Linked DNA regions of Mus musculus. The protein of the gene in region 1 purifies or fractionates together with the protein of each later gene. This does not show direct contact. Links are inferred from orthologs where the notes say so. Each region holds a gene or a part of one and is shown in the gene's direction. Other genes may lie near its edges.

The links. The genes of interacting proteins can lie anywhere in the genome.
Region 2: the proteins of Cdc42 (region 1) and Map3k11 purify together in Homo sapiens (affinity purification with western blotting; 3 studies listed by BioGRID and IntAct, with this or other methods). This does not show direct contact. The link is inferred for Mus musculus from reciprocal best matches to the Homo sapiens genes CDC42 and MAP3K11.

Annotation. Positions count from the first base shown.
Region 1 is NC_000070.6:137,354,960-137,359,199, reverse strand, and holds the start of Cdc42 (cell division control protein 42 homolog), read left to right. Parts: upstream 1-1,440; 5' UTR 1,441-1,554; intron 1,555-1,561; exon of another isoform or gene 1,562-2,405; intron 2,406-4,240. UniProt on the Homo sapiens protein: Plasma membrane-associated small GTPase which cycles between an active GTP-bound and an inactive GDP-bound state. In active state binds to a variety of effector proteins to regulate cellular responses. Involved in epithelial cell polarization processes.
Region 2 is NC_000085.6:5,692,131-5,695,630, forward strand, and holds part of Map3k11 (mitogen-activated protein kinase kinase kinase 11), read left to right. Parts: intron 1-803; exon of another isoform or gene 804-891; intron 892-3,030; coding exon 3,031-3,211; intron 3,212-3,366; coding exon 3,367-3,500. UniProt on the Homo sapiens protein: Activates the JUN N-terminal pathway. Required for serum-stimulated cell proliferation and for mitogen and cytokine activation of MAPK14 (p38), MAPK3 (ERK) and MAPK8 (JNK1) through phosphorylation and activation of MAP2K4/MKK4 and MAP2K7/MKK7.

The DNA of each region.
Region 1 (4,240 bases):
ACAGTACAGCTTTGAAAGAAGTAGATTGCAGGCTGGGAGGTGGCTTAGAGGGCAAAGTGATTGCTGCGCAGGTGTGAGGACTTGAGTTCGAATCCCTAGGGCCCACATAAAGCTGGATGCAGGAGCACACATCTGAGGTCTCAGAGTTCTGCCTCCTTAAGACACACCCTCCTGTTTTTTGAGAATGGATGTTTTGTATCCTAGGACACTCTGAATCTTCTATGCAACCAAGGGTCACCATAGATTTTTCTGCTTCCACCTCCCAAGTGCTGGGATTACAGCCATCCATCTCAGAGCTTGGATTATGAATGTGGTAGAGGCACTAACGTGGGGCTTCGTGCATTCTTGGCAAGCTCTCTACCGACTGGGCTACATCTCCAGCCCGCAAGAGAACATTACTGAGATAAGGTTCCTCTAATGTTGGGGAGCATCTGACAGAAGGCTAGGCTCTCTATTCTCCAGCAGCTAGTACACGGCCAGAGAAGGCAGCTATTCAACAGGCGCCGAGATGACAGGGAAGAGAAGGATTTGATAGGTCAGATCCAACCAAAGGGGCCAGGGGAGAGCACTCAGGGACAGTAAATGTAGGACTTTTTTGAGGGGGAAAGTCTTTAGTTCTAAACAAAACCGAGGGTGATACTCAACTCCCACTCCAAAAACAGACAGATAAAGCTGTGCACAGCAAGTCACTTCCTCTCTCAGAGAAGCAAAGAGGCAGGCTATGGAGGGGCACGCCTATAAGCTCAGCACTTCGGAGGTAGAGGCTTAGCAGTTTAAGATCAACCTCTGGTACCTAGTTAAGCATTCAAATCCAGGCTGCGCTAAACGAGATCACGTCTCAAGTTATTAAAAACAAAACAAAACAAAACAAACCCGGTAGCCTGGGTATGGTGATGCACACCTTTAATCCCAGCACCCAGGAAGCAGAGGCAAGGGATTCTCTGAGTTCCAGGCTAGCCTGGGCTCCACAGCAAGTTTCAATACAGCTAGGGCTACCCATGGAAAGAAACTCTTGTCAAAAAACAAAAAACAACAACAAAAAAGAGAGAGACAGCTCAGGCATGGTAGTACATTTCTTGAAATATCAGAACTCTGGAAGCAGAGGCAGTAGTATTGCTGTGTTCTGGGACAGCCTGGTCTACATAGCCATTCTGGGATAGCAAGGGCTACATAATGACACCCTGTCTCAATAAAATAAACAAAAATATAAAAGTAAAACATATTTACAACACTTTTCTTCACGAAGTTGCAAGACTCAAAATAAACTTTAGTTACAACACCGTGCACATCATTGTTCATAGTTTTATTACGGATAAAAAATACCGTTAAAAGGCGCAGAGAGCCAACCAGAGCATGCAAGGAACGCAGCCCGCGCGCGTGCGCGCCAAGGGGCGGAGCCCGAGCCGCCCTCAGCCCCTTCTCTCTCTTTGTCCCTCCCACTTCCGCGGGCACCCAACCATGCGTCCCCTGCGTGCTGACGTCAGGCGCGTGCCCCTGTCCGGCAGCCGAGGAGGCCCCGCGCAGTGCTGCCAACGCCCCGGCGGAGAAGCTGAGGTGAGTGCGGGGCCCGAGAAGCCTCCCTGCGGGAGCGTCTTCTGCGCCGCCCGGTCCCCTTCGCGTGTCCCCCCCCCCCCCGTCCTCTCTCGGTTCTCGAGGATGCTCGCGGGCAGGGGCATCCCGGTGCTTGCGGGCGGTGGGCCGCGAGGGAGGGCTTGCCGGGGTCGCGTGCGCCCGCCGGCCCGGGTTCTGAGGGAAGCGAGGCGGGGTCGCGGCGAGGCTTAGGGCTGGAATGGCGGCGCGGCGCGGCCGGGGATGGCGGCGGCCGAGGGCACAGCCCGGCCGAGCTGTCAGCGGCGGCGGCGGCGGCGGCGGCGGCGAGAGGACCGGGCACACCCATCCCACCCGCTCCCCTCCCCCTCCGGCCGCCCGCGGGCTCCGAGGCCCCGGGGCGCGGGGTGGGAGACGCCCGGTCCGGACCGGGGTCGGAGGCCGGGGGCTGTCTCTCCGTTGTGGGCCTCGACTTCCTGCTTCCCCGGCCCCGCCACGGACGCGTTGCGGCTGGCGGGGGAGGGGAGCGGAACTGCGGCCGCAGGGCCGGGCCGGGCCGGGGCCGAGGTGACGGACCGGGCGGCTCTGCGCCTGCGCCCCTCGGCGGTCTCCAGCCCCGCGCCGTGTCCTCTCCTGCCCCGCGGCTCCCGGGGCTCTCCTGCCGGGGCCGGCCTCTTTGCCATCCGGGACCTGCCTAAGCACCTCCCGAAACCCCGCCTGGCCACTTACTCAGTTCCTCGTTCCTAGCAGGAAATTTTCTTTGTCGGTTATTATTACTATTTTGTAAATTCCTCTTTCCACCCCTTTAACTCTGGGAGAAATTCAGTGTGGAAGATTACGTCATCGCAGCATAAGGGGTGAGAGTTTTAACTCCTACAAGTCAGGGCTATTCAAATTAAGACAGCATCTTGCGGCCTTTGTGGGTCAACCCAGCACATTGGTTCAGAGTAAGGTGGCAATTTTTTTTTGTTGTTGTTGAAATCCTGTTGCCTGTCTTCAGGCTGCCTGAGATGCACCTAAAATACCGAAGGTTCAAAATCTTAGGTTTAAGTTATTTTGGTCAGGGAATATACACTGTCTGCAGCCACTTGTGTAGGTATGATCTTTAAAGGACCCCTTGGCTATATACTCGGGTGAATTGCAGGAGCAATTCTTTGCCACACTAATTGTGACTTACTTGATGTAAAGAACCCAACTTCAGTGCATGGTTTGAAGAATGAGGTGAAAAGAGAATTTCGTCATACCCCTGATTTGTCTTTGTTAGGATTGCAACTTCAAAGTTGCATGCTTTAGTTTTTCCATTAAAAGGGCTTTTGGATTTTTTTTTTTTTTTTATCTTGAGACAGGGTCTCCATATGTAGCCCCGGTTAACCTTAAACATAGAGGGACCTCCTAGTCTCTGCCTCTCAAGAGCTGGGCTTACAGGAATGAGCTACTTGAATTACCAACCTTGATTTTAATTTCTAACCCTAAAAACTTGAGTAATATTTTTAGATCACTAGAATGGTGTGTCCTTTGATTATAGTACACACTAGCATTGAAGAACATTAACACTGCAAAGCAAATGATATCCAGTGCATCCCTGTAAGGGTGGCTCATGTTTGAACAAGACTTTTCCCATTATTGCTCATTTGTATAGAAAATGATGTTTGTAAAATACTGGAGTGGTGGATTCAAATTGGCTTTCTGTAGTTGGTAGTTGTGGAGCTTGAATCTTCCAAAATCTTCCAAAATTTGTTAGCCTTAATGTGACATATAGGAATATAAAATTGGAATACTTACCTACTATTGTGTTTTTTTTAGCCTATATTTAAAAGGTTTATATGTGCACCATTTTTTTTTTTTTAATTAACTAGTTTGGGCTGGTGAGATGGTATAGTGGATAACAACACTTGTCCAACAGGCCTGACTACCTTAGTTGGGTCCCCCAGAACCCAAAGTGGAAGGAGTGAATCCTCTCCAAAGTTGTTCTCCATTGGGCCTTAGTGGTCCTAGCCTTTAATCCCAGCCCTGGGGAGGCAGAGGCAAACTCTTGAGTTTGAGGCTAGACTCATCTACACAGCCTGTCTTGAAGAATCAAAAACAAAAGCTGTCTTCTGATCTTCACACTCTTGCCAGTGTGTATGTGTACAAATAAATGCACACAATAATAATAAAAATTAAAAACACAATTAGTTTGATTTTGACATAAGAGATTGGCAACTGAGTATTTACAAGGAGTTTGTTTTTAAACAATTTGTTCAAGACCCTAAAGTGCCTTATATTCTGTTAAACTCTTATTTAAATTCAAGATGTTTTCATATTGAGACAATACCTGTGCTTAGTAAACACATTCCCTGCTCCGGTGATCCTTGTAAACCCATCAAGACTAAAGTTTACAAAGTTTACAAATCTTTGCAAAAAGATTTGTTTTCTTAGGAATATTTTTGTAGATTATTTTATTTCAGATTTTCATACATGTGAAACATTTTATATTTTGACCACCCTATCTCCCTCCTCTGTCCCTCAGCTCTCCCCTCAGTGAGTCCATCTCCCAACTCTTGTTCTTTTTTGTGACCCACTGAGTCTAATGCTGCCCCACATTTCTAGTTACTTTTATGATACGTATACTGCAGATTTTTTTTTTCTTTTTTTTTGGTCTAATGTACTTTTTGGAGGAGAATTGATGGGGCTTGAATGCACAGTCAAACTT
Region 2 (3,500 bases), on another chromosome or scaffold:
CCTCCACTAGCCTGAGGGGGATTCCCCGAAGGCCCAGGGGGTGGGGGCTCCTGTCTTCTGTTTTTCCTCCGTTCTCCTTCCAGAAAAAAATGGAACAATAGTCCAGGCCCCTGCTCCCCACCCTCCACACCGCTTCCTGTGTTTCCTGCTGCCCCTGGGCTGGCTTCCTGCCCCAGCTCCAGCTCTGTTCCCTCCCTGGCCCAGCTGCCTGCAAGGGAGGAAAGAGCTGGGGGTGGAGGGGTTTCGGGAGAGGAAGGAGCCAGGGATTGCCCCCCTCCAGGCCCTAGTTCCCCTGTTTCCCTCTCAGAGTCTGGGTGTTGGTGAAGGGCAGGCAAGGTGCCCTCAGCCTCTGAGCCTGGCATCCAACCTTGCAGACCCAGTCCTAGGCCCGAGTTGCTGTCTGTGGGATTGGGGTGGGGGGAGTCCCTGGGCTGGGGTGGGGGGGAATCAGGCAGGAAACAATGGCATGATTTTCCTGGACAATGGGGGCCTTGTGAGGAGGCCTGGCCTCGAGAGAAGGGGGAATTCTCCAGGCCCACGAGTCACAGGACTGACCAGCCAGCCGGCCTGGACCTGACCTCCCCCAATTTGCCCCCAAAGAATACCCCCCCCAAGTTGGCCCAGGCCTCCTAGAAAGGAGAAGTAGGGACCATGAGAGGAAAGCGGAAGAGGTGTGAGCTGGCCAGGCTACTCCCTAGCCTGACAAAGGCCAGGAGGGGGTGGGGGGACAGTAAGGAGACGGCTGGGAAGCTGCCCCAAGCTTTGAGCTCTGCAGCTTTTCTGAGTGGCCCCTGACCTCCCAGGCCCAAGGTCTCCATCGAGCATCACAACAATAACTTAGGACCCAGGCAGGATGCAAAACAAGCTGGAGGAGAAGCTGAGGACGCAGAGGTGAGGTGCCTACAAAACCCAGAGCGGAGACGGAGGTAGCAGAATGGCTGCAGATAGAGGCCTGAGACACCAAGTGCTGCCTCTTACCAGAATTCAGATTCCACAACGAGAAAAGAGGCAGGTTGGCTCCCTGCCTAAGAACACGATGCAGAATGTGCTCTGCCCGTCTGTGGGCAACCATGTGTGCTAGAGACCAGGCTGGAGGCAGGAGCAAGTCCTCAGTGGAGGGTGGGTCCTGGCTCCGGAAAGAACCTGTGCTCTCTCCCATCCTGCCCCAGCCTGTTGTGGTTCCTCCTGAGATGAGCTTGCACAGGCCTAACAACGGGTCCCTGCTGCCTTTGGCAGGCTGACCTGGGGCTGGAGGGCGGAAGTTAGGATTAAGGGTGGAGAGCAAGAGTGGGCTCTGACAGACGTGAGCACAGGATCTCTATGCCGAAAGACATTGAGAAGAGTTCTGCCACACGTCAGGCCCAGGCTAAAGGCTTTTCAATGTCTGAACTGGTCTAAGACTCCTGGACAACCTGTGAGGTACATTTGCCTTATCGGAGCCAGACTCACTCCCAGTGCAAAAGAGGAGTAGGAGGAGTCAACACCATTCCCTGAACTAGGAGAAACTGGAAGGAAGTCTGCCAGGAGTGGGGGCAGAGAAGAGCCACGCAGGGCATGTTGACAGTGGGTAGAGCGCATCATTGCTGTCTTGCCATGTAAGAGGGGGCAGGAGTCTGGAGTGGATGGAGGCAGCCCAGAGGTGGCAGCGTCTGTGTCTGCGCTCGAAGAGCACCAGAACTGAAGCATTCAGAGGGAAACAGAGTCACGAACAAGAGGACCTGGGAACGGATGGTGTGGGTAGGGGTCAGGCCTTAATGCCAAATCACCCGGGAAACGGGTTCTGGCTTCAGGCCTTTGAAGATAAAACCTGGTGTGATTCCTCCTCCAAGAAGCCCTTCCTGGCTCACCTGGCCACATAGATGCCCTCCCCCCTTCCTCACGCTCAGTACCTATCCTGTCCCATTGCAGCCCTGACTGATAGCCTGTAAGAGAGCTGGGGGTGTGCCTGCCACATGCTCAAAACAGAAGGCACTGCTCACCACTGATGGGCCCTTGAGGATTCAGACGTGGTCCCCTGCTACTCTGCTGCTCACTTGAACTGTTTTTATCCTGGCAAGATTTTGCTAAGATGTTGCCTCTCTTTTTCTGAGATTGGTAGCCACACTTGGACCAAAGCTAAGTGTGACCCCTGCCAAGTGTGACCAGAACCTTCACCTCCCTCTCTCTTTACACCCAACTCCTGCTGTAGACGTCTTCTGAAGTCTTCTGCTGTGAGAGGTTGTGATGGTCACAGTGCTGTGACCTCCTGGAGGAGATCTTTGCTCTTTAAGGGCTTCCCTCCCCGTTCCCTGGCCTAAGTTCCGATTCATACTCCTGCCTCAGCAGAGTGACAAGACACTCAATGGATTCTCTTGCTTGCTCGCTCACTCTGTGTGTGTGTGTGTGTGTGTGTGTGTGTGTGTGTGTGTGTGTGTTTCAAGACAGGGATTCTCTGCGTAGCCCTGGCTCTCCTGAAACTCCATTTGTAGATCAGGCTGGCCTTGAGCCTTGAACTCCAAGATCCACCTGCCTCTGCCTCCTGAGTGCTGGGATTAAAGGAATATGCCACCATGCCTACCTCAGGTTTCTCTTGAAAGCAGAGCCACCAACACTGAAAACGGCCACATTACAGTTTTTAATCCATTCCGTGCTATGAAAAGGCTAGAGCATTAGCTCTGGAGCCCTAGGCTGACTAGAATCTGTTTGCTGTGACTTGGGCAGGTCCCTGCTATTTCCTCACCTGTAAAATGATGATAATTCATGGTTTTGTTTGTTTAATTTGGTTTAGTTTAGTTTATCTCTTTTAGTAGAACTAACTAAAATGTTGGCCTCTAGTACTCAGAGGCAGCAACTTAGTAATGTCTTGCCAGTAAATGGGTGCTGCTTGTCACCTGAGTAGTCAAGTCTCCCCCCACCCCGGCTGTGAACTTCTCAGGGCAGCGTCTCACCAGCCACCTGTGTGTCAGTACCTGGCCAGGATGACTGTGAGATGCGCCTGCTCTGCACGCTTCTCCTTTGCACCCCCACAATCCTCCTCCATTTGCTCCCCAGTTCTGTTGCTGCAGCCCATCGAGGGTGACGACATGGAACACAAGACCCTAAAGATTACTGACTTCGGCCTCGCCCGAGAGTGGCACAAAACCACCCAGATGAGTGCTGCGGGCACCTACGCTTGGATGGCTCCCGAGGTTATCAAGGCCTCCACCTTCTCCAAGGGCAGCGACGTCTGGAGGTACAGCCAGTGTTGGGACCGGAGAGTGTGGGGCTACAGAGGGTGAGAAGGGCTGCTTAAGCCCAGGGGTGGTCAGGCAGGCAGAATCCAGGACCCAAAACCATTTAGTTCCTCCTTGCTTTGAGGTGAACATCCGAATCTCTGTCTCCCTACAGCTTTGGAGTGCTGCTGTGGGAACTGCTGACTGGGGAGGTGCCCTACCGTGGCATCGACTGTCTTGCCGTAGCCTATGGTGTGGCTGTAAACAAGTTAACGTTACCCATCCCATCTACCTGCCCTGAGCCCTTTG